3 linked regions of the Caenorhabditis elegans genome follow. The protein of the gene in region 3 purifies or fractionates together with the protein of the main gene of each other region. This does not show direct contact. Each region holds a gene or a part of one and is shown on either strand. Other genes may lie near its edges.

Region 1 (6,567 bases), on a different chromosome or scaffold from region 3:
GTTTCATAATTTAAAACTCATCTTGAAACTTCTTATTTTAACTACCAAATTCTTGGGCAGATATAATTTTAAAACTATTCTGCAGAATGAAACACGAACATTTTAACACATATCTGCCACAAACTGAAACTTGTAATCTAAAAACCTAATAAATTGTTTTGAAACGAATTTATCCGGTTGTTTCGTTAGTGATTAAAAAAAACAATGCGCTCTGAAAATTTGAAAGTCATAAAAGCAGGCTTCAAGCCTCACTCATGTTTAAAGACAAAAGAGGAGAGCCTGTGTCGATTTATAAGTAACAATTTCCTTTAAAATTGAGAGACTCACAAGAGGCGTGAAAGTAATAGCAACAACAAAAGTTTATGATTTAACTATTTAGACAAAAACTTTAGAATTCGAGCACCGAGTTTTAACAAGCTGATCAGCGTTGGGTATTTTAATCATCCAGTATCATAAATGTGAAAATATTTATATCTTCCATTTCACCTCAATTGATATTTGATATGCGATTTTGCAGATATAATAGATTTTTAAATAATAAGGATATTTTACCAACCTGTAAGGAGTGAGCAATGTTCACTAAAAATTGAAATCCAAGGACTAGAATCATCTTTGAATCATTGCCAGATCGAATTTGGCTTCCTGGAAATGAAAGAAAATAAAAAAGAAACTGAGATTTTGCAACAAAAACGAATGGATAAGTGGCTTCAATTGAAATTCAGCGGATTCCATCAAAAAGTTGTTCAATAAAAATCGGGTCTACCTGCAGCTCCACCTATTCTTTTTTCTCTCAAACTCTTGTTTTCTACTGCTGCCTTGTGTCTTACATTCCCACACTACAATACAGATTCGGACGGTTCGGATATAAAAAATGGGATTTCCAAATCGGGGAGTGGATCGAGGAACACGTTCAACAAACATACACTGTATTGGGTAGGGGAGTCGGTTTGCTTGTTCCGACATGAGAATCTCGAGTTACAACTCGCAAAACCAATTAAATCTTCTCGCAGACAGTAACTGATCCCCGTGGTGTAAATTTTGACCTATTGGTGTTTGATCTGATCACTTCGATGATAACAGAAAATATATAAATATGTAGCTAAGTTGGAGAGTACGGTAGGTTACGGTGTGATCGCGGTGAGATATCAGGTGATTATAAACTATATAGTTTAAGTAAGCCCAAAGCCCAATAGCGGCCTGAATATACCTCGTTTTTAAAGAAACGTTTTAAGTTACTTCAGAATGAAAAAAAAACAGTCTAGAAGTATTGGGAATTAAATTTTCGAGTGGCAGTTATATTAAAAAAAATAAACCGATGTGTATAATTTTCATTGAGTTTTGCCCTACTTTGTGAACTTCAACACTTCTAAATATGTATGAACAATTTTGTGCAATTTGGCATTCGGAGGAACTACTGTATCTGAAATCGTGGCAGGACCCAGCCAAGAGAAGTAGTGTGCGCCTTTAAAGTGATACTTCACTTTTCATGAAGTTAAGAATATCCGCAATTTAGCAACGTCGATTATTGAACAATAAACGTTTGTAGACAGTTTTAAAAGCAGAAAATTATCTTGGTCTATATTAATGAGAGAACTCTACAAAAATCAGTATCCAAAATTTAAAAAAAACTTTGGCACAGAAACGAACAAGCAATCGTAATAATCAATTATTACGGAAAGGAATACGAAGAAGCGGCGAGAAATGTGCTGCAATTCGGTTTTGAACGTTTTAGCCGAATTGCAAATAAATTACGCGAGACGAGACCTCCTCCTTTTGCTCCGGCGGCTTGAACGGTGCCCGCAACCTGAACCTAAACAGCCTAAGCACATAAACGGCACGAGAATTGTCTCGTTGAGAATTATGAGACCAGAGGACACAGTTCATATTTATATTTTTAGCGGAGAAAAATTAAATATTCAAGCGAGGAAGGATGATTTTAGAAGGTCAGAAGGGATTGGAGATTTGAATAAACAAATGAAAAGTGTCAGATCACATAGAGACTAACACGTCTGGATTTTAATGTGCTTTTTTTTGGGACGAATACATATTCACAAAAGGAAATAGAAGAAAAATCAGTGAATACAAGTAAAAAAGTGTGAAGAAACTGCCCGGGCGGTTGGCAGAAGAATGAAGATCGATTAGTGTCCGTACTTTTGGAATTCCCACTCACGATTGTCCAATGGGCATACCTGAAAAGATAGAATTAGAAAATGTGTAAGCTTTTTGAAATGCTAGTTACGAGTACTTAGTAATTGAAAAAAATTAAATTTTCAAAAGTTGTTTAACAAAAATGCATGCGGCAGGCTTCTGTTCCGCTTTGACATTTGAATAAATATCATTTTTTCAAAAATAAGCACGTTTAAAAGCAACCTACCTGTCGTGTCTTCAGCCAACGAGAAATGCAATGGAAGTGGAAAGCGTGATTACAGTTTCCCCATGCAACGGTACACTCATCCTTGAGCCCGGCTGCTTGATTCGCTTGGCACTCGATGCACAGATCCATGATGTGATTGCGGCAAATAGCGCAGTTGTCGACCTGAATGTCCCAGGCCCAAAGTGCGACGGCACTCCATTTCTTGACCTTAAATTGCACTATGTTTGTTAAAGCATGTAACATTGTATCTGTGTTACCTCGAAACGCTTCTTAACTGTCTGATTTGTGGCCTCCTCGACCTCCATAGCTGTGCTGTCGCTTGCTTGGGCCATTTCTGGAAAAAATACAAATGAGAATAACAGTAATCATTTCAAAATAAGAGCGCAAAAGTAGCATTGATGATATAATGAAATACTTAATATTGAACATGTTTATGCATACTATAATACTATAAGCCTAAACTAAATAGAGGATATGATTGATAAAATTGTTGTATCAGATTTTATGAAAAATTGTACCCTAGAACAAGTGATTCACGAACCTAATACAACATTGTTGTACAAAGCCGCCGATAGAAAATGAGGAAACATGAAGGACTTGACATTATTGCTAATATGTATTGAAAAAGGAGATACGCTGTTGTAAAATAAATAAAATGAAATCAGACTGAGCAACACTGCCGAAATTCTTTCGAAAGAATCATCAAAAACGCTTGTCTGCACACACCAGACGCTACGCGCATTTGCGTACACCGTACTCACCTATTTTCTGTCTTCACGCTTTCGCTTTCTTTTTAAAATTTACTCGTCGCGTCTTATTTCTTGCCGAAACGAACAAAGAAGAACAGGTTAAAAAGAAAAATTGTATTTAACAAAAATAAACCGTATCAGTTAGTATTTTAACAGTAATTCTAACAATTGGGACGATGAGAAAACAACTTTTAAATCGTTTCAAGATATTTATTCTGGCAAATCCGTGTATCCAATTCTCTTTTTCTTTCGCTCCGGAAAACATTTTTCAGTAATTTCTTTCAGCTTGTTTCCTAGATTTTTTCGATAGTCAATAACCATGTCGCAGTCGATGGTTCCGTCGGGTCTCTCGTGATGGCTTTTTATGTGCTTGATCACATCAGATTTTGCAATTGTCTGCCATTTTCTGTGACAGATTCCGCACTCGTAGAGCTCATATTTTCCGTGACGCGTATTTGCATGATACACCATGCTTGATCTTTGTTTGGAAACAACGTCTCCACAAAGAGAACATTGAATTTGTTGCTTCGGCTTGATCGGACCACCGCCATCAGATGCTCCCTCGAATGAAGGACCGGCTCCACGTTCTTCTTCGTGACGTGCCAGAGTTTCGTCTGAATTAAATCCAAATGAGTGGGAATCATTATTATGTGTAAGTTTACCTAGAAAGGCATGATAAGCATTATCTACGAAGACAACAGGAGAAGATGACTGAATAGGTGTGCCAGTTGCTTCTGAGTTTTCGACTTTGACTCTGTTCTCCACTGTGCTTGACACCGCATCGCTGATTTTCCCTTCAATCCGCATAGATCGACTCATTGCAATGCACCGTTCGAGCTTTTGGGTCAGTTCCTTCTTTTTCATACTCAACTCCGGTGTGTAGCGATATTTTATCTGCAATTTAAATTATTGTTGAATTTTTTTTCTGCGTCTCTCAACATTGGAGACTTACAGAAAATTCGGTGAGTCCATGATCATTCATACAGTGACTGACAAGGGCGAATTCCGTTGGAAACTTAGCGTACTTACATTTTTCGCATCTAAAATAGTAAAGCTACGTTCACCACATATTAAAAGTTAAAGACTTACTCATATGGGCATATGTTAAGATGATCACTAGCAATGTGTGCTTCGAGATCTTCCAGTGTGTTGTAGGCCTCAGTTTGAACGCAATCTAGACATCCCAGTAGTCGGTTCATTTTTTGAATGTAATAAATATATTCTGCAAATTTAGTAATATAGATTTAGAAGCGAACGGTTAACAAAATGTGTTCGAAATCAACTGAAGACGCGTGGAAAAAGGAAAAGAATGGTGAGAAGAAGAAGGAAGGAAAATGGAGAGAAGGGGGTGGTTTTGTGTGTGTGAGGAGGAGAAGAAGGCCGGGCGGGCAATGGCCAGTCTCTTCCTCCTTTCTCCTTCCTTTCTTCTCCTCTTTCTTCTTTTTTCTTCTTCTCATCGCTCGGTTCGCGCTACATTGAAACGGAGAGAGAAAGGGAAAGAGAGAGGACAAAAATGCGACGACTCGTCTTCTTCCTATCTCTTTCTCTCTGCTGTGTGTGTGTGTGTGTTTTTGTGGCGATAGGAAAAAAAGAAAAAGGAGCGGGATGGGCGGAAGAAAAGTGGGAAAAACTGTTGGAAAAATGAAAACGTGAGAGAACAGATATGAGTCAGATTTTTGTGAAAAATAATTAATTTTGAGATAAAAAGTTGATGGTACAAATACCATGACCATGCATGGCAGTCTCTTTTTTGTTGAAATTTTTGTTTAGAAAACTTATTTAAAACCAATTCTTAAGGAATATGCATTTTTTTTAAACACGAAATTCGCTTTAAACAGAGTACTTCCATTGGAAAATGTAAGGGAAATAAACGATAAAGCAGCCGAAGCTACCATAAACTTTTTTGCGCATCGAGACCAGTCCAAATCAATCCATGCGCCTTTAAGAAAGTATGCCAAAATCTTGTAAAATTAAGATACCATTTTTTCCTAGCAAGAATTTCTCGCTTTCTGATAATTAATTTGGTAAAAAATTCTAAAGCTTATCTGAAACCTTTCGTCTTATAATTTTACAGACTCGGTTTATATTTTATTTTGATAATTAAAAAATAATCAAGATTTTTCAGAGAAAAATGAACACACTGCGACGAATATCGACATGTCGATTCACAAGTAATACAGCGTCTTCAACTTCTTTGGAGTCTGCACCGGCTCCACTAAATCCAAAAGTTCAGAAAGCTCTGACTCCTGCCACGTTTTCAAATCCCAATCAGCTGGCTCGATACCTATCGAAAAAGGTTTTGGCTCACGCTCCAGGTCGATTTGTAGTGTTGGAAAAGCCATATGGATTGTCATGTGTTGGACAACTTCAAGAAAATGGTGGAGTATTTGGGAATAGTGTTCGAGATGAGAGAAAAACTGAAAAATGGGCTGGTACAATCAAAGCAAGGACTCAAGAACAAATGGGAGTAACAATTTCCGATTGTATCAAAGATTTGAGAAAGTTGCTCCGTGAGCCTCAGCTCAGTTTCTGTACAGGCTTAAAACGATACTTATCTGGTGCAATTGTTCTTCCATGTAATGAAAAGGATTCCAATATTCTGAAAGAATGTATCAGAAGCACTTCTTCAAATGTCGAACCCCCTTTTATGTATAATGCCTTGTAAGTTTTATCAATTTCTAAAGTTTAATTTTAGTATTTATTATTTTAAAGTTCAGAGCAATCACAATTGGAAGACCTGAAAAGAGCAGTGGAGTCATAACTGGATTTGCCACGTTTCGGAATGTCGGAAAGCACAAAGAGTACATTTTCGAAGAAAGAAAAACAACGAAACGGGCAAAAACTGGAAAATACGCTGTAGAAGGACATATGAGCTATCGAGTACTGGACACAAAAAATGGAATTTCATTGATCGACTTTTCAGTAAATAAATGTAAATTAACCAAAAATCTTCCGAAAAAAATCATCTTGGTATATTTAATTTCAAATTAAAAAGTACGACGACGCTGGGTTTTTAGATAACAAATGTTTGAATACATATTATTTTTGTATTGAATATTATATTTCTTCAGTTGCTCGTCATCTCCCACGACTGATGCTAACTCAGATGTCTTGTCCGATCCTCGGAGACACTATCTACTGGAGACGTTTGGCCGACGTGGATGGAGTTCCTGAACTTATCAGCGCGGGAAACATGGGGCATAGAATTGTAAGTCACCAAAGTTATTTTGTAAAGAAAAAAACTTGAATCTTATTCAATCTTACAATAAGAATTGAACTTTTAAATCTTAAAAAAATGTATATCTTAAATACTATCAAAATCAATCTGTATTGTACTGTTTTACTCCCCATATATTTGCAAAATAAGTTTGACAAAACTGGAAAGTTGCCATGTTTTTCTAAAATGACTATTATTCCAGTTCATCCCACCTCATCTTTGTTCGA
Region 2 (8,072 bases), on a different chromosome or scaffold from region 3:
TCGTAATTTGACAACTCTTCCAATTTCATCTGATGGTTGATCCTGAACACGCTCAATCGTCTTGCTTAGCTCTTCGAATCGCTTCTTCTCCGTAGGCCCGCCGACATTTTTTACGATTTCTGCTACTCTTCTATAGGCAAGCTCACACATAATCAGATGATGTCCTGAACATTGATAATATTATTTTTGACAAAAATTGCAATCCAAAACCTTTCAATTTTTCCAGCACTTCAGCCTTCGCAGGTTTCAATCGTTCACATTCCACATGCTTATTGATCATTTCCTCTTTGAATTGATAATTCACACCACCAGGTTCACACATGTTCGAAACTAACAACATCACAGCCGAAATATCAAGATTTAAGCGTGGCAGTGTTGACTCTGACTGCGATTGTGAGGAGGGTAGCCTGCAATAGAGTTATTGTAGTACGGGAAAAGAGAGAGAGAGAGATGGGGAGACGCAAGAACGTGTTTGCCTTTCAACGGGACAGAAAACATGGCCGCCATAGCTCAGTCGGTTAGAGCGTGGGTCTAATAAGCCCAAGGTCGCAGGTTCGACCCCTGCTGGCGGCAAAATGTTTTGCTTCTTATTTCATCAAAACCTATTTAAACTTACGTTGGAATAGAAGCAGCATCTTCATCAACTTCATCCCAGTCAGAATCTTCCTCTTCTCCAAGCCGTTCAATTAATTCTTCGTTCCATTTTCCACGTAAACTAGGATCTGATTTATCGACGTGCTCTCCAATAACAACAATTCCATGACGAATGAGTTTTTGGGCCATCTCTGCTAGAACTCCATTTCTGAAGTAAATTCGTATTTGTGGTCGATTGAAACGGCGTGATACGAAAAGATGTTGCTTTATTTGTGCAATAACGTCGCCATTTCGTTTTCCGTCTCGATATTCGATGAGAACGGTTTTGGCGGGGCGATTCACAAGTTTTATCTGAAAGAAAAATTAAAATTTTATTTGAAAATATATGAAAAGAGTTTAATAATAACCCAAATGCGGATTTCTTTGCGATTTTTGTTCAAAAAATACGGTGTCTGGTCTCGACGCGATAAATATTTGAGAAATGCTAAAGCGTATGCGCCTTTAAAAGAGTACTGTAATTTCAAACTTTTCAGTTTCTCGTAAAAAATATTGTTTTTAATTCAGGAACTGAAACAAAACAATTAAAATACACAATTTTAATACAAATTGTGAGAAAAACTATTACAAATCGATAAAAATTTCACAGTGACGAAAATTCGTTTTATTAAAAATTACAGTACTCTTTGAAAGCGCACACCTGTTTGTTTTATACGAAAAACTGTCGTGTCGAGACCGGGCACCAAATTTTAGGTGAAAAATGGCAAAAACTCGGATTTGTATAATACTAACCCAAACATTCGGTTCTTTCATCACAATATCTACAGTAACCGATACATTATCCCGTTTGAACGTTTTCAGTACGGCCGTCGCATTTTCCATTTCCTCAACTTCATCGATTATTGATTTGTAGAATGCGTAGTTACATGTGACCAAATGAGTTTCTAGAGCTTTTCGTGTAGCCTGAAAATTCTTAATTTAAAAATCATAAAATCTATAAAATACATTTTGAAGTAGTTCAATTTCCTTGTTAAGCATTCGTTCCATTCGTTGCAAATTCTCCAATTTTTGGAATTTGGCGCCCGTCAACTTGGCGACTGCTTCTTGAACTTCTTTGATTTTTTCGATTCGCTGCCTCTCCAAATCATCTTCGTCGACTCCATGCATTTTTTGTCTGAATTAATTCAGAAATTGAGAAAAAAAAACTTTGTGAATAAAAGATATATGAAATTCGCGAACATAACAGTATTAGAATATTAAATTGAACAATTAAAAGCAGAAAAAGGCTTGGAAACTTTTATTCTTAAGGTGAGATTCAAGATTCAAAAGTGAGAGATTCGAAATTTAAGGCATCGGACAATTTTTTACCCATTCTGAGATCGGGTTAATTTTTACATATTTAAAAATGAGTAAGGTGAGATAATAATGAAAAATTAGACTGCAAATTGGAAGTAATCACATTGGAACGGCGGTTCTCCATTGTTTGTTGAAGTTGTTCTCCGGTAACAGTCGATACAGAGAAGACGGCTGCAATTAATTAAACTTATTACATTTTTGAAAAATTTATTTGGACAAATGATTAAAACCACTTGTCAACTTTTTTAAATTTAATTTTTTGAAAAAAAAAACTAACTCAAATGTGACAAATCTTCCGATCACGTCGACAGAATTAGCAATTTGTCTGGATTGTATAATAAGTGGTCGAATATATCGAATATGCCGAAGTCTGACACATCCTGTACACAATTCGAGAGATGATATTCCTGGTTTTTCAAACATCAGATCATCCATATCGAAACGAAGTGAGAGTGGAAGGAATTGACGTCCAAATTTCATCGATTTTGAGCATCTGAAATGAATTCAATTTAAGATTTTTTTCTTAAAGTTTTAATTTCTCGTACTCTTCTCGATGAATAGCATTCGCAGCAATTGTGCCCAATTTGTCGACACCTCCCTCGTGTGTGTATTCGATATTATCAACTTTTGTAAGCAGGCGACGTATGAAAATTGGTCCAATTTCTTCTTCTCTAAAATAAAAATCGGTTGCAATAGGCTGCATCGACTTGTCGATTTTAATTATTTTTTTTTAGTTTTTATTCTGTTGGAATTTCACCTATTTAAAATTTTTTTATTCTTTTCGTTAAAACATGAATTTTTTTTGCAATTTACTAAAAATATAGTTGTTTTTTTTAATTGTTACAAATTTTTTCGGAAATTTTTATTTTGGCTAATTAGCTAATTGTCAAACTTGCCGATTGCCGAAACTTTTTCGGGACTTTATATGCAAAATAGTGTGTTTAAAATATATTTTGCAGTTTTTTGGTAAACAATTTTAATTGAAAAATTTAATTGTTCTTACTTGGAAAATCATAAGTCCGATTTTGCAGCTTGAACATTAAAAATTAAATATTTCCAACAAAAATTAAAAAACTCACAATCTAACCATTTGATCATTGGCATTAATTCCCACATGTTCGATACTTGGAATTTTTGAGAATACATAAGGTAAAGCTGTCATAAGATTGTTGCTAACATCTATTGTATTTAGATTCTGTAGAACTCCAATACGTGATGGAAGATATTTTATTGCGTTATGAGCAGCATTAATAATCTTGAGCTGTTTCAGATGGAAGATTGGAGGGAAAATCTGAAATATAAATTTGAAGATTATAAAATAATTATTTTCGGAGCCGTACTGAAAGATGATTATCTCCAAAATCCAGTAATGAGATAGAAGTCGGTAGTTCTCGGAACATCGTACACATTGCTGGAACAGGAATCAACTCCAGGGAACAGCTTCTCATCTCGAGTGACTGTAATTGCTTCAGCTTGCTAAACACGTCAAGATCTCTATTATGAGCTCCAATTGGATTTCCATTGAGTGTTAATCTGGTGAGATTATGGCAGAATCTCCAGGCTTTATCAGGTCTCCGTAAATCGATAGGCTCAATTTTTAGTGTTTTCAGGAATTCGGAGCATGATTGCATTTGCTTTTTGTACGTTGCCTGATTGTTGACCGTGATGGTAGTTGGTTTGAAGTCGGAACTTTTTACCTGAAATAGTATTTTATTTTAATTCTTTCAATTCCACCGTCAAGCTTAATACCTTCACTTTCTCAATATCCACATTTTCTCCTTTGACAATTTTTCTGATGGCTTCTATCAGTTGTGCCAACGCTTCTGGATTCGCCTGAACAATAAAAATTATTATTTTTATATTGAAAAATGCTTTACACGTACTTTACTGATGCAAACCATCACAGCAGGAGTTGTTTGAAATGTGATAGTGGTTTTTCCTTGAGCAATAAATTTGTCGAGAATAATTGGCGGCTTGTTGAGCTCGAATTTATTTCCAGTTTTGTCACCGGCCACGGCCACTGTTATCTGATATTGTGGAGGGGTCTGGAAATATTTTTTTGTTTTGTTACATATTAACTTATGAAAATTTAAATTACCTGTCGAAGTTTTTGCAGAATAACAAATCCTTTTTGCGATTTCGTGGGTTTTGGATTAACTCCGGCATTTGCTTTATAACGTGCAAAAACCACTTCACATGGTAATCGCATTTTTTATTGAAATCTGGAATAAGCAACTATTGGTAGTTTCTTTGTATTTGAAAAGCAAGTCTCTGAAAATCAAAATAAGTTTCTGGAAAATCAAGTTGAACCCGATAAAAGAGCACTGGGGAGAGTTACATTTTAAAGTTTTTACATTTATTCCCAAGAAGAATAATTAACGAAAAAATAAATAATAATTACCATTTGCTTACCAACTAATCGGACTTCAATAAAATTAATAGAAAATTGTCACTTATAAATATCACAAATGAACACAGGAAGTGATTGGGGGATGAAAACGATAATTTAAATAAGTCAGCGGGAGAGTCGAAATTTACAAAAAAAACGGGGACTGGAAACAATAAAGAATAATAATTAGCTAAAAGTTGTACCCACATTATAAGCTAAAAGAAAGTTTACAGTAAAGTCATTATGCACATTTTTATTCAGAGTTCTTGAAGATCTCCAATGCATTGTGTACAGTGGAGTTGTCCAGCGGGTAGAATTTGGGGTCTCTGTAAAGATATATTTGGGAACGATGAATCAAAGAATATTCTACTTACACTGATATCAGAAATAATTTCCAAAATTCGTCTAACAGATGCATCTTGGGTTTGCCCGAAAGTATCACTATTATCTTTGTCAGCAGAACAATCCGATAATCGTGGACTATTTTGAGCTTCCAACACAGTTGGTGGTGGAGTACTTGGAATCTTCTCATCATCACTATTACCATGTACTTTTTCACGCTCTGGAACTTCTTCCAATTTGGCGTCCACCAAAACATCTTCGTCTCCGCTCATTTCATCAACTGTCGAATGGCTATAGCTTCGGGAAACTCGGCGAGCTGCTTTTCGGGAGATTGAGCTTGTCTGGTATTCCTAAAAATTAGCTTGTAGGTATTACAGTTTCATAGATTAATTACCTTTAATACTCCACCTTTGTTAAGTACAGTCATTAACACATTTTGCAGTTCTTGGCATCGTGCAACAGTTTTCGTTCTGTCCTCTTCCATAGCCTTCAATTGTTCATCTTTTACACGAAGCCTTTCACGAACCAATTTTCTCTGATGCTGATAGAGAACAACGTGATCAGCAATTGTGTCATTTTCGAGTTCTAGCTGCTGGTTGATGTGCTCTAATCGATCAATTGTCTCAACGAGTTCAGCATTCTGAAGCATTGCTCGAGCGAATCGTTTCTCTAATTCTTTTCGTGCCCATAGATCTTCATGAAGCTCTCTAGAAGACTGCTGATTTTCAGCTTCTTCTGGAACCTTGGTTTCTTTCAACTCCAGCTGTTCCTGTTTGCTTTCGAGATCTTTCCGTTCTTCCTCTGCTCTTCTATCAGCTCGTTCATCTTCCAATTGTTGACGGCAATTATTAAAAGCTTCTCTGAGTGCTTCATTTTCGGCATGAAGATCCTGAACTCTGCCAACTGCTTGAGTGAGCTCAACGTGAATCGAATTCTGATTCTCATCTTCTGCATTTTGCCTCATTATTTCGTCCATTTGTTCATTATGAGTGTTACTTCGTCTCAAATCAGCACGGACCAGTTGAAGTTCATGAGTTTTCAGCTCTAAATCGGATCTGATTTCTGCATTTTCTCTTTGAAGCGTTGAGATATTTTCTTTCAATTCTTCATTGAGTTTCACGATTTCTTGAGATTCTTCACGTTGTTCTTGACTTGCAGCAGATTCTTGTGATGCTTCGAGATGAGGTTGTCGAGCGATTACTTCTGACAGATTACCAACAAGACCCGCGGTTTCTAAATTCAACTGCTTTGTCAATTCCCGTACTTGATGCTCAGCAGATTGTTTTGCAAGCTCGACATCTGCTTTTTCTTTCGTAAGAGTAACAAATCGGTCTTCCGTTTCCAAGAGACGTTCTTTAAGCTCTTTGTTTTGTGCCACTGCGCGGGATACGGTCGCTTTTTCGTTCTGTAAATTCGAAAATTTGAAAAATCAGGGAAAAATATTGAAAATTGTAAATCTACCTGTAGTTGCTCTGAAAGAGACAACAAATCAGCTCCGTTTGCAGTTGACTCTAACGTTCGTTCTTCCAAAAGTCGATATTTCATTTCAAGTTCTGCCAATGACTGTTCTCTTTCGAAAATAACTTTGTCTTTTTCTAGAATTTCTTCTTCTCTGCGTTTCTGATCATCCTCACTTCTTCGTTCCCACTTCCCTCTTTCAACGAAACACGCTTCACGAATCCGTCTTGCTACATCTTCTTCTGTGATAGTTGGAATTTCATCATGCCTCTCAGAAACATCCATATTCATTTGAAGCTTCTGCAGTTCAGATTGAGCAATTTCGAGTTGATTTTCGAGATGTTCAACTTGATCGTTTGAAGAAAATTTTTGATTATGCAAATGCTCGATTTCTAAAGCCATCTCTGCTTGCTTTTGTTGAAGTGCATACTCTCGATCAGCATAGTGAGCTTTTAATGTCGCAGATTCGACGAGAAGACGTGATTTTTCAGCTTTAACGTTCTCCAGCTCACGTTGCAAGTTTTCATAATTCGTATTCTCATTCGGAATCCCTCCCGGCGGTCCTGTGGCTCCAAGTTGTTTCAAATAAAGATCTTTCATTTGAATGTCTTTCATGAGCTGACTGATGCGATTTTCTTGAGCCGCCGTTTCTTTTATCATACTTTTCACACGTGCTTGTGCTTCACTTCTCTCGTGTTGAACATTTAGCAGGTTAGCTTGCATTGATGCAACTTCTCGTCGAGCTCCTTCTAGCTCTTGATGACGTGCAGTTAATAGGGAATCTTTTTGTGCAATTGCTTCATTGAGTTTTCGAATTTCGTTTGACGAAAGTCCAGATGATGTTGAATTGCTCATTTGGTTGGCAATGTTCTCTGCAGCAGCCAGCTTGTGTCGAAGTTTTTCGATTTGCTTGTTTGCCTGACGAAGATCACTTTGAGACGAAACTTTCTCTTCAACCATTGCAGACAATGCCTGAATACTCCATCATTAAATTAAAATAAATAAAACGAGTAATCCTTACATTTTGGAGTTGGACAATTTGATTTTCTGTATCCACATGTATTCCATTTGCATTGACTTGTGAATAAGCGGAATGAAGTTGGGAGTAATGGGCACACTAAAATGATTTTTTTTTTAATAAAATCATTATTCATATAATTAACGAATTAGTTTTTGTATTTGTCAATTTCTCATTATCCTTACCAATTCGTCATGCTGGGTCTTCAATTGTGTATATGCCTGATACCATTCGTTTCCGTTCGGTTGAAATGGTGAAGCCTGAAGAAAACATTTACTCATTTAACGATGTTATCGATTTTCTCACATCCAATCCATTTCTTGCATTCAAACTTTGTGCAGAAGAAGATGAGTGTGGAATTTGAAGCGCTGTCGAATCTTCACTGACAACGCTGCTCCGTCCATTTAAACCTGCTCCAGCACCCGGCTCTGATGAAATGATACTTGATGCAGGAGAATTACGTCCATCGAGTCTTTGACGTGCTTCAAAGTCTTTCAGCTGTAAAATTTACTCTATAAACTTTGTTTTAATAAAGTTTCCTCACGATTCTCACCTTTTTCCTGGCCGCTGCCAGCATTTCAGCTTTGGCAGGTGCAGCGGCATCGACCATATCACTGATTAATCCAGCTTTACGCCGAAAAACAGTAAAATCTATCGATTTTAAAAGCTGAAAATGAAAAAAGACGTGGAAATTAGTGGTTGGACGCAAACACCGCAATTGACGACATAGCGCAGACAACAAAGCGAGTTCGCAATGAAAGCAGCAGAAATTCACACAAAAAAGAAAAAATAATAGGTTTATGTACAAATAACTAACGAAACTTTGGAAATAAATGCTAAAAAACAACCGAGCAAATTAGAAAACTGGAGGCTTGTGATCAGATGAGACAGGCGAATCGGTTTGCCCCTTGGTGAGCC
Region 3 (10,265 bases):
AACTTGCATCCCCGGAGTTTGTTTGCCATAAAATCACAAAGCTTTTGAGGCTGAGACATAATATTTAAAATTCTAATAAACTTTAGAGATATAAAGTGGTCCCCCCACTGTAAATACGATTAAAAACTTCACGAATCATTGTCTTTCGAATTCACGTATCAAAAACTATGCTTTGTTAAAAAAATGAATAAAAATCATATTTATCCAATAAAAAGACGAATTCTCCAGTGTTGTTCTTCGAGAAGCATCACTTCATTTCTCCGCAGTCAGCAATGACGCACGGAGCCGACGGTGCCCCATCTTCGGATCCTTTCGACTCGATCGCCTTCACCACATCCATTCCTTCGATCACTTTGCCGAAAACCACGTGTTTTCCGTCTAGCCACGTGGTTTTGACTGTGCACAGGAAGAATTGCGAGCCGTTTGTGTTCGCCCCACAGTTTGCCTGAAAAATCAATAGTCAATTCCAGAGCGCATAAAATTTCAGAAAGCCCGATATTCACAAAAATTTCAAAGAAAATTTGATCAAATATCGACAATAACAGAAAAATCGATAACTTGAGTAAATATAATATCGATTTTTTAGTTTTTCAGAATCTTCACCATCGACAAGACTCCGGGTCCGGTATGCTTCTCCTTGAAGTTCTCGTCGTCAAACTTCTCGCCATGAATCGATTCTCCGCCGGTGCCGTTTCCCTCCGTAAAATCGCCGCCCTGGATCATAAACTCGGGGATGATGCGATGAAATTTGGATCCTTTAAAGTGCAACTTCTTGCCCGATTTCCCTTTTCCTTTCTCGCCGGTGCACAGAGCGCGGAAGTTTTCCGCTGTCTTCGGCACGATGTCGTTGTAGAGCTGCAACGACAGGTTTTAAAAATCTTTAGTTTATTGATTTTTAAATGTTGCCAAAATCTAGTAACTTCCTGAAAAGTCGAAAAACTGGCAAATTTCTGCAAGACCATTGAAAAAGATTTTACAATCATCCTAAAAACCGATAACAGAACGACAAAAATCGATAAATGGCAACAAAAAATTATATCGATTTTCTCAATTTATACTCATTAAAGTGCAAACTGACATACCACTAGCGCCTACAGTAATCATATTTGCTCCGAGAACCTAACGCTGCCCCCCTTACCTCCATAACGATGCGTCCTCCCTTCTTTCCGCCAATCGTGATATCGAAGAACACTTTGACACGTGGCATCGCTGATCGATTCTTTTCGCAGTAATAAATTTAAAACTACCGACGTTCAAATTTTCCATTATGACTTGCCACGTGCCGTAAGAGTGTCGTGGATCAAAGTTCAAGTTCAAAAACGTGAAAATTTAAATGAAACAAAATTGGAATTTTGGGAAGGATAATTGTCTACTTTATCGTAATCATAGAGATTCCGGAGAAAAAATAGTTGCTTGAGGAGGGAGGATAGAACACAAAAAAAAGACAAATATAGTACATATACATTTTCAAGGAGAGGCTACGGACTGGTTGGTTTTATAGGCAAATAGCCGTTTGTCGGGAGTAACAGAGAATTTCCCGCGATTTTCAGTTTTTGAGGGCTCCAAAAGTATAAAAATAGGTATTCCAATAAACAGTTTGATGATTCCCCGTTGCGCAGCTCCAGCAAAAAATGATATAAAATATGTAAGATGAGGGGCGAGGGGATTTACTTTCAGTACAGTTCAATTTGGAAAAAAAGCAATCATTGTTAGAAAATCTTGAAAAATAAAATTATAGTGGGGATTTTGAATGGCATGTTTCAGAGTCATTTACACAGTGTAAATTTTAAATTTTAGTTTTTTGCCTCTCAGGGAAAAAACACGCAAATAGGGGGAGAGAATTAGGCCAAATATTGATACTCGTCATTTTGATCGGTTCGCTGAATATACATTTTCTCGATAAGGTCCTCAATGCTCTTTTTGATGAATGGTACGTCGGGCGAGAAGCGGCCTTTCGTTTGGTCCATTATCTGCAAGAAAATGTTGTTTTCCGCATTTTTGATGTGGAATAGCACATTTTGCAAAAAGATTTTTTTCGCTTTTTTTTGGGGGGTTCCGGACCAAAAACTGTTTCTAAAATTGTTTGTTTTTCTTTTTTGGAGGAAAATCCACTTTTTGATTTTCAGTTTCTTGGTTCAAAATTCAAACAAAAATATTTTTGTAAAGCATTTTCAGTCGGTTGAATATCTCGTTTTACAGGGTTTTGACCAACAACAAAAATCTAACAAACCTCAGTGACAAGTGCATTGTGTTTCAGAACCTTCCTGGTCTTCATAATTCTGACAATTGCGCACTCCATATAGTACTTTCGGTCTTGTGAAACCTGGAACTAATATTGACGATTGCGAGGCACACGTGTTTGGATAATCTAGCTGCATCGAGGCGGGGCCTAACTAAATACGTCTAGTCTCTCAGAATTCTAGGCCACAGTTTATAGCTTTGATTTAGGCTCATTGGCTCAAAAAGGGAGCAGATAAATTGTTTAATTGATTGAATTGACTCAAAGTTTCCACAAAAGACCAAATTTCATAGTGAGACATTTAAAAAAATTTTACGAAGGTTTAAAATTTCGAAAAAACACCTAAACTCTTTATTAAAGATTTTTCAGCATTTGAGATTTTAGTTGAGCTTGGCTTGTTTTAATTTCCACCGTCATAAAAATGCTGAGAATTTTTCAAGGTGTCTCATTTTAAAACTTGGTTTTTGAGATCGTTTAAAAATTTTTAAAGTCTAGGACTAAATAAAATACAGATTTTTAGTGCTTGAACTCAAAAAGTCATAACTTGAGGCCCTCGCCAATGAAAAACAAACTGAAAACCCTACAGTATTCGCGACGGCCTCCTGCTCCTTCTCGACAGCCTTATTCACTTGTGGCGCCTGAAGCCGGAACTTCATCCGTTTCGACGTCATCGACATGTTCAGACGAACCAACGAGTCGGCCGTTAGATTCTGATCATCACACGTCAGCAGGGTAACGTCCAAAATCGTTCGAATCGTCTTTAGCAGATAGTCACCGCTCACACCAATCTCCTCTCCGATGTCCTTAACGAGGATAGCATCGCGACGTTCAAAGCAAAGCAGCGCTGCCATCTGATAGACATACATCTGTGCGACATACTGCTTATCGAGGTATGTAAGCCTGACATCTCCCTGTGACATATTGAAAAGCCATGTCAGTTTTCGCCCGTTGTGCTTCCCAGTGTAGAACTTCTCAAACTCCTGAATCACAGGCTGCAGGATACGTGGCAGATGGAAGTTGGCCACGTCTTGTGCGGTCTGATTATTCGAATTCGTAGAGAGCTGTGGAGCGTTGAGCGGCCAGCTACCTGCCTGCAGAATCATCGTCTGTGTCGGCACAAACTTCACGTCGGGCTGCACAGTTTTAATGTCCGCAATGTGCTTATCAAAGTTGTTCGATAGCTCCTGGCTAAGCCCGATATCGGTGAACATTCGTGACAGTTTACTGGTGAATTCATAACCACACGCCTGTTTCAACTTGTTAATCATCAGCTCCTCGGCGTCCATCGATATCGATGTGCTTGCTATAAGCCGATTTGCGAGCATTTTCGAGTAGAACTTCTGGAATATATCCTTATCCTCTATATAGCGGAAAATCACAATTGCACTGTCGAGTTTCGCCTCCAAATCCGTCTCCGATAGTCCTTTCGTGGACTTTTTGAGCAACCCATCCGTATATCTCGCCAACCGCTCACTGGCCTTCGGCACCGACTGTCCTGGCTCCTTCGAGTTCACGACTCCCTGCAACGCCTTGTCGAGTCCACTAGAGAACTCGCCATCGTCCATGAACACAGCAGTCTTCATATCATTGAACTTGTTATACACCCGTAACACATTCTCCACAAATTGCTGGGGTACATTCTCGCCGGTGAGCCTCGACACCGCCTCGAGCCCCTTCTTCTTCACATATTCCTCGAACTCCTTAACCATTACCGAGAGTCCCGCTTGAATGGGCTTCAACAGTCTGTACATGTTGCGGAGGTCCTTGTTCTCCTCATTAGTAATGAGATCATGGCACACTGCGTGAAGTTTATCCTTGTGAGCTTTTATCATAACTTTCTGGCACAACGTGATAACTTTCTCCACCGACGATTCGTGGAGATACTTCTTCGCACGCATCTCTTCTTGTTCGAGGAGCACTATAACCTGTTCCATGTACTCACTGCAGCTGAGGTCGGTGAGCATTTTTTGTGCGAGCGCCGAATAGTACTGTTCCGTATCCGTAAGAAGCGGTTTCTCAAAGCTCTCCTGATAGAACGCCGTTGTCGACTCGCGAGCCTTATAGCGTGCTCCTTCTGCCGGTACAACGTCGAAATCCGTCTCCTCCATCTTAACGAAGCTGTTAATGACGCCGGAGACTTCATTGGCGATATGCGGGAAGTTTCCTTTCCGATCATTGTCAATCGCGATGAGCAGAAGTTTGACGAGCTGCGGGAGAATGGTCTTCACGAGGTCTTCTTTCCAGATTTCTAGTGCGAGCTGAAAATTTCGATTTGTTTTTTTGGTTCAAAACTTCTCAATTATTTAATAGTTATTTTCCAGGAACACAAAATTTTGAAAAAGCGCACTGTGGTCTTAACTGATAATCATCGGCCACGGAAGTCATCTCCGTGGCCTAGGATTTTATTTCCACCCACTTTTTCGTCGAAAACATAAAGAAATTTCTAAAAACCTGGCGCAATTTTTTTGTCGCAAACTCACACATCCGATCTCCTTGACGTCTGGAATCTGCAGAAAAGCGGCGTACTGCGCGAAATTGTCCAAATCGGTGCATCGCTTCTGTTTTACGAATTGTTTGTTCAGGTATCTGTAAATAATGTTTTTTTTTAATTCTCTTTTTTTTGGGTATTTTTCAATTCTTTTTCTTCTACAACGACGCAGTGAAAACGTTTCACAAAAATGCATTTTGGAGCATTTTCAGATCATTGTTTGAATTTTAAAAAGAATTCCGAAGAAATTTCACACGAACCCAAAGAGACGGTGAATAAAGATGGCTCCCTCATGGAAAACTCTCCACATTTTGTGATATTCCTGAAGCAACAGATCCGGATCAACATCGACGATATCTTGACGCTTTTGTCGAACATGCTCTTGAATGCAAGCCTTCACCTGTAAAAATGGAAATCTTGTAGTCTCATCACCAAATTCGCTAGAAAATCCTTTTTTATAGTAGAATCCGAAGAAAAAAGTAGAATTTTAATTTTTTTTTTCGGTTTTCGTCGAAAACGTCAAATTCGAGATACCTCATTATACAATCGCTCGCTCAATGGAGTCGGTATCGATACACAAATGTCGTAGACGTCACTGAAAACAATATTTAAAAAAATTAAAAATTTATAAAAATCCAGCTTTTCGTATCGTAAAGTTGTGATTCTTGACATTTTTCTTTGGAAAGTACAAAAATCTTTTTTTTTTTCAAAAATTCTCATGTTTTTTTCCCAGAAATGGATTTTGTTCAAAAAATACTACCAAAATGGTTTTAAAAAGTATGTTTAAGAGGTTATAAGATCATCAATCCGATTTTGCAACAATGTTTTTTTAAATCGATTTTTCGGATAATCCTGAATTAATCGGAAAATAAGTGAATGTTAGTGTTTTGGAGCAATTTTTTACAATTCTTGGAATAATGATTGAGTTTTTCAGTGAATTATACACGTGAAATAAAAAAAAATAGTTTTGTCAAAAAATTTTCGGATTTTGTGGACAAAATCCTCGAAAAACTTTTTTTCTCTGTCAAAAATCGAATTTAGGATTGTTGCTTACAAACAACGCGATTGCTGAAAATAACTTCAAAAATTGATTTTTTAAAACATAACATTTTTACAAAATCGGATTAATAACAAAAAGGTAATTTTTGCCTTATATATAAATAGTTTTTGCACAAAAACTTTAGATATTGGCCAAAAATCAAGACATTTTTGAACAAAAAATCCCAAAAAATCTTTTTTTTCAAATTAAAAATTCGAAAAATCTGTTGAATGACAGAAATGATACTTTCTGAAATTTCTATCACTGGAAAAAATCAAACTTTTCCTTCAAAACTTACCTAAACTTGTGATGCCACTGAACATTGGTGATCGGCCGCAAATTGATGATATCAATGATAGATGGTCTCAACTGCACCCATACTTTGTCAAATTCCACAACTTTTGGCTTCAGTGAGTACATAACCTGTGGACGAGGTGGACGACTGAAAATGATGACAATTTGTGCGAAATTTTCAAAAAAAAATAACGGGTACCGTAAGGAAACTTTTGTGGAACTTGCCATTTTTACGGAAAAAGCGAAAATTTTTGAAATGCGGATTAAAAAACTAAACACGAAAATTTAATTGATAAAAAGAATCACGTGATTTTAATTATTCTTTCTTTTTTTAATTCGTTCAATTATTTAATATTCAAACCGAAAAATGAGAAACCAGGGGTCATAAACCAAATAATATCGATCGATGCGCAGCAGACGCACTCACATTTTCTTCAATATCGGCTCAACGACGGGAAAATTGTCGTCAGAAATTGCCTTACGGCGGCCAAGTGTCGTACGATTCGATGTCGGCTGTGTATTCGACGCCAGTTTTGCCTGTGGACGGTGAACCTCGGACCGGTTTCCTGTGGAGGTTACACTGAAGATTTTCGGGGATATGGTGGAGAAGCTGAAATTTGATTTTTAGAGAAGATATATTGAAAAGAGATAACAAACGTTAAAAATATATTGAACGTCATATGTTAGAAGTTGGCAATGACAATGAAAAATGTGACATGTGAGAAAAGGAGGATTTTAAAAAGGAAATCTGTTTAGAACAAAAATTAAGAATAATTTTCTGAAGTCTAAAATTTAAAATTAAATTAATATTTGAAGTTATTAAAGGTGGAGTCGTTTTGGAATTTGATTATAAAGTTTTCTCTAAAAATTTTAATATTGAAAAATTAAAAAAAAGAATACCCTTTTGGCATTTTTGTGCATTTTTTGGCTAAACTTGGAATAAATGGCCAAAAACCAAAATAAAATCGGAGCAGTGCTACAGTACTAATTAAAAAAACTACTGTAGTTTTCGCTATGAGATACTTCTCAAAATTTAGTGTACCCGTAATGCTCTCCCATTACAAATGTATTTGCCCCAGATGTGTAAATGAATAATTTTATCAAATATTTTTGTTCGATATTCACATAAAAAGATGAAATTGCGGTTTGTTTTTTTTTCTCGAGAATCCAGAAAATTCTACTAATTGTCATTATTCCCAAACCGGGAATGATCAAATCCCCTCTTCCACTTCCCCTGTTCTTTCCTCAATTTGCGTGCTCAACACACACTGTGTAGCCCGGTTACCAAGGCAACAACTCCCCAAAGGCTCGGGTAGCTCAATGATTTGTACTTCATTTTTTGTAACCATTATTTGTAGGCTCGTGACATAAGTGACAAATCATAGGGGAGCAGTGGCAAACGTCGAAAACAACGGAGATCTTCATTCATATAAATGTCATTAAAGGTAATTCCGTGTACTCTCACAAAAAATCAGGAAGTATTTAAATGTGTTTCTGCTCAGCTTCAATATCGAAGAGGCGAAGAAGAGCACGGAAGTGGACCGATTATTCATCGATGGAGACCAAATGGGCATACTGTAGCTGTTGCATGGTTTGTTTATTTTTTGTTTAATTCTTATTTTTAACAGTATCTTTTTTAAAGATTTTTCTTTAAAATATTCAAAATTCAAAAACTCCAAAAAAGACGAAAAAAATCGAGAAAGAATTTAAAGCCAACTTTTAGAAGTAGGATTTTCAATTTTGGCTAATTGTCCTGTTTGATTTTTTTTCCAAAATGGGAGCTTCATGACCAATGCGTTTGCAAAGACCTTGATTGGTTTGAAAATGGGTGGAGCCAATCGCTGATTGTTCAGATTTTTGAAAATTTGAATTTTCATCATTATTTCTCAATTTATTATTATCGGTTCTGGAATTTCTGAATTTGAAGCTTTTTAAATGCATTTTAAAGCTGAGCTTTTCCAAGCAATAAATTATACTTTTCAGCGCCAATAACACGGTCATCTATTACGATAAGAAAGGAAATGTTATTGACGCGTTGAATCCAACTGGGTGAGTTCAGAGTTTTTTGAAATGTAAAGAAAAAAGAAGATTTTCGTGATTTACACTTTTTTCAACTTCCAGAAAACTTATCGACATAGCTTGGGATAAGGAAGGTGATGTACTAGCGATTGCCGTAGCAAATACCGGGACTATTTATCTATGGGATGTGAACTCGCGGAATACAGATACTGTTGAGAGTGGAGCGACCTCTTCAAAGTGAGTTGAAAAACGGGGGCATTTTCTAAATACGGTTACAAAATATTATTTCAAAATTTTGAAACTGTGAGATTTTTTGGAGTTTTCAAAAGATTACAGATTTTTCGTTGTATTTCTACGTACTTCAGATTTAAAAAGTGATACACCAAAACTTGCTTCATTCCAGAGAGCTCCCAACATGTCTTGCATGGTCCCCAAGTACTCCTACACTGGTAATCGGCAACAACGCAGGAAATATCGTCGTCTACAATCATCGAACGTCTCGGCGGATAGCCGTGATGGGAAAACATCAACGAAGTGTCACACAGATTACAGTAACCCCGGAGGATTATGTAATTTCTTGTAGTGACGATAATACACTTTCAGGTTAGAATATTTCCGTTCAAATTATATTCGAAAATCATGTTTTGGAAAAAAATTGAAAACAGTCAACCCAGAGAAATGAATTGAATGAAAATATAGTTCCTCCGATTTACTGGGTATTATTGCAAGAGGTTTTAACTTTCCAAATAAATTTGACCTCAATTTTATATTTATTTCAAGAGAACAATATTAAGATGAAAACCAACTCTCGAAAAAACGTGGCATTAAAAATTGATACAAGTAATACCTAAATTTGTAGTAACCACACTGGAGGGCACCACAGTGAGCACAACGACGACAAACGGAGAGCCCACAAATATGGATTATGGTTCCGTGAATGGAAAAGGTGGAAGCGGTGTCACGATGGTCAGCGTGGTTATAGGGAAGAAGATTCTGATGCTCGCGCATTACAATGCTCTCGACGAACCCGTGAATCTTCAGTTTCAGGAGAAATATGGAAATATTCACTCCTATAGGTGGTTTAACGACGGTTATATACTCATCGGCTTTGACCGTGGCTATATAATATCGATTTCGGCACATAACAACGAAATCGGCTCGGAGCTAGTCAGTTTCCTCGAATATCGTGGATATCTGGCTTCTATTGCTGTTAGCACCTCGTTTAACAAGCTTCTCACCATCGGAGACAACATGTACGAAGAATCGGTATTTCAGATAATATTTCATGATTTTCAGGGTCAAAGTTCGGGATCTCGACGAGCTTACGACTGTTACTATGCTGACAGAAATTGAAACTGAGAAAAGTGAGAAGCTGGTTTTACTGCAAGCTGAGCTATTTTTTCGAACAAATTTGCAGATCTGAGCGAGATCGAGGTGACCGAAGACGGTCAACTAGTCGCAGTGTCGTCCCAAAGCGGAGTTCTCTCGATATTCGTGACAAAAATGCCAACGCTTGCCGCTTCCTACAACAACTCTATCTGCTACCTGACGAACTTGACACAAGTGACTGTGGTGGCGGAAGTCGAGAAAAAGGGCTCATCGACTTTGGAGCTCAATATTGAACCAACTGTTATGGGATTGGGGCCGTTGAATTTGGCGGTCGCCAATAATAATACCGTGTTTTTCTATGATTATCATACACCTGCGCAGATGCAAGCTGCCCAACAGCTGCAGTCCACTCAATCGGCTGCAGAGAAACGTAAGAAAAATTTAGATTTTTGGCGGAAATTCGAAAAATTAGGGATTTCATGACAGGTTTCAAGAGTTCCGCTTTGGAATATTCCATCAAAAGACATCATGCAAGCTAATAGTCGGAAAATCGACAACTTTTCAGCACCTCGAAAACAAAATTTTAGAAACATCTGATTTTTGCGAAATTTTTTATTTTCCCTCGTTTTTTAACTTAATTATACACTTTACGTCCTAAAATCTCGCTTTAAAGCAGAACTCCCTCTTTTCAGCGACCATAGTTGCCGCGGAGCCCATCAATCGCGTCGAGTACCTCTCCACGGTCACAAACATCCAGCTAAACTACATGTACGCTGCTGTCAACTTTGGGAGCAGGCTCCGCCTGCATCGAATCCGAAATTCCGAGGATAACGTATCAATTGAGTTTCCCGAAGCGA

What was found. The genes of interacting proteins can lie anywhere in the genome.
Region 1: the proteins of cul-2 (region 3) and rbx-1 purify together in Caenorhabditis elegans (affinity purification with mass spectrometry, with the first as the bait; one study listed by BioGRID). This does not show direct contact.
Region 2: the proteins of cul-2 (region 3) and lrr-1 purify together in Caenorhabditis elegans (affinity purification with mass spectrometry; 3 studies listed by BioGRID, with this or other methods). This does not show direct contact.

Annotation. Positions count from the first base shown.
Region 1 is NC_003283.11:9,687,815-9,694,381, forward strand, and holds rbx-1 (RING-box protein 1), read right to left. Parts: upstream 2,709-6,567; 5' UTR 2,707-2,708; coding exon 2,632-2,706; intron 2,582-2,631; coding exon 2,375-2,581; intron 2,190-2,374; coding exon 2,139-2,189; 3' UTR 1,872-2,138; downstream 1-1,871. Other genes in the region: ztf-9 (C2H2-type domain-containing protein), read right to left, coding at 3,334-3,737, 3,786-4,017, 4,076-4,163, 4,213-4,322; ZK287.7 (RNA_ligase domain-containing protein), read left to right, coding at 5,255-5,784, 5,841-6,055, 6,195-6,331, 6,543-6,567. UniProt on the Caenorhabditis elegans protein: Component of the SCF (SKP1-CUL1-F-box protein) E3 ubiquitin ligase complex, which mediates the ubiquitination and subsequent proteasomal degradation of target proteins.
Region 2 is NC_003280.10:5,032,271-5,040,342, forward strand, and holds lrr-1 (PIF1/LRR1 pleckstrin homology domain-containing protein), read right to left. Parts: upstream 4,170-8,072; 5' UTR 4,157-4,169; coding exon 4,046-4,156; intron 3,993-4,045; coding exon 3,831-3,992; intron 3,781-3,830; coding exon 3,697-3,780; intron 3,645-3,696; coding exon 3,288-3,644; intron 3,239-3,287; coding exon 3,027-3,238; intron 2,619-3,026; coding exon 2,493-2,618; intron 2,441-2,492; coding exon 2,225-2,440; intron 2,119-2,224; coding exon 2,025-2,118; 3' UTR 1,872-2,024; downstream 1-1,871. Other genes in the region: F33G12.3 (DUF1308 domain-containing protein), read right to left, coding at 1-164, 211-407, 617-945, 1,384-1,554, 1,597-1,758; golg-2 (Golgin subfamily A conserved domain-containing protein), read right to left, coding at 4,594-4,662, 4,711-5,028, 5,073-6,083, 6,140-7,108, 7,158-7,253, 7,340-7,414, 7,461-7,652, 7,708-7,764; F33G12.7 (uncharacterized protein), read right to left, coding at 8,011-8,072.
Region 3 is NC_003281.10:13,683,674-13,693,938, reverse strand, and holds cul-2 (Cullin-2), read right to left. Parts: upstream 6,289-10,265; coding exon 6,260-6,288; intron 6,209-6,259; coding exon 6,065-6,208; intron 5,323-6,064; coding exon 5,262-5,322; intron 5,128-5,261; coding exon 4,988-5,127; intron 4,826-4,987; coding exon 4,720-4,825; intron 4,498-4,719; coding exon 2,824-4,497; intron 2,330-2,823; coding exon of another isoform or gene 2,324-2,329; coding exon 2,231-2,323; intron 1,971-2,230; coding exon 1,842-1,970; downstream 1-1,841. Other genes in the region: cyn-2 (Peptidyl-prolyl cis-trans isomerase 2), read right to left, coding at 248-445, 604-855, 1,139-1,207; WD repeat-containing protein dyf-2, read left to right, coding at 7,494-7,505, 7,563-7,651, 8,044-8,109, 8,182-8,316, 8,483-8,682, 8,939-9,332, 9,376-9,443, 9,497-9,838 and 1 more. UniProt on the Caenorhabditis elegans protein: Core component of multiple cullin-RING-based CBC (Cul2-ElonginB-ElonginC) E3 ubiquitin-protein ligase complexes which mediate the ubiquitination and subsequent proteasomal degradation of target proteins.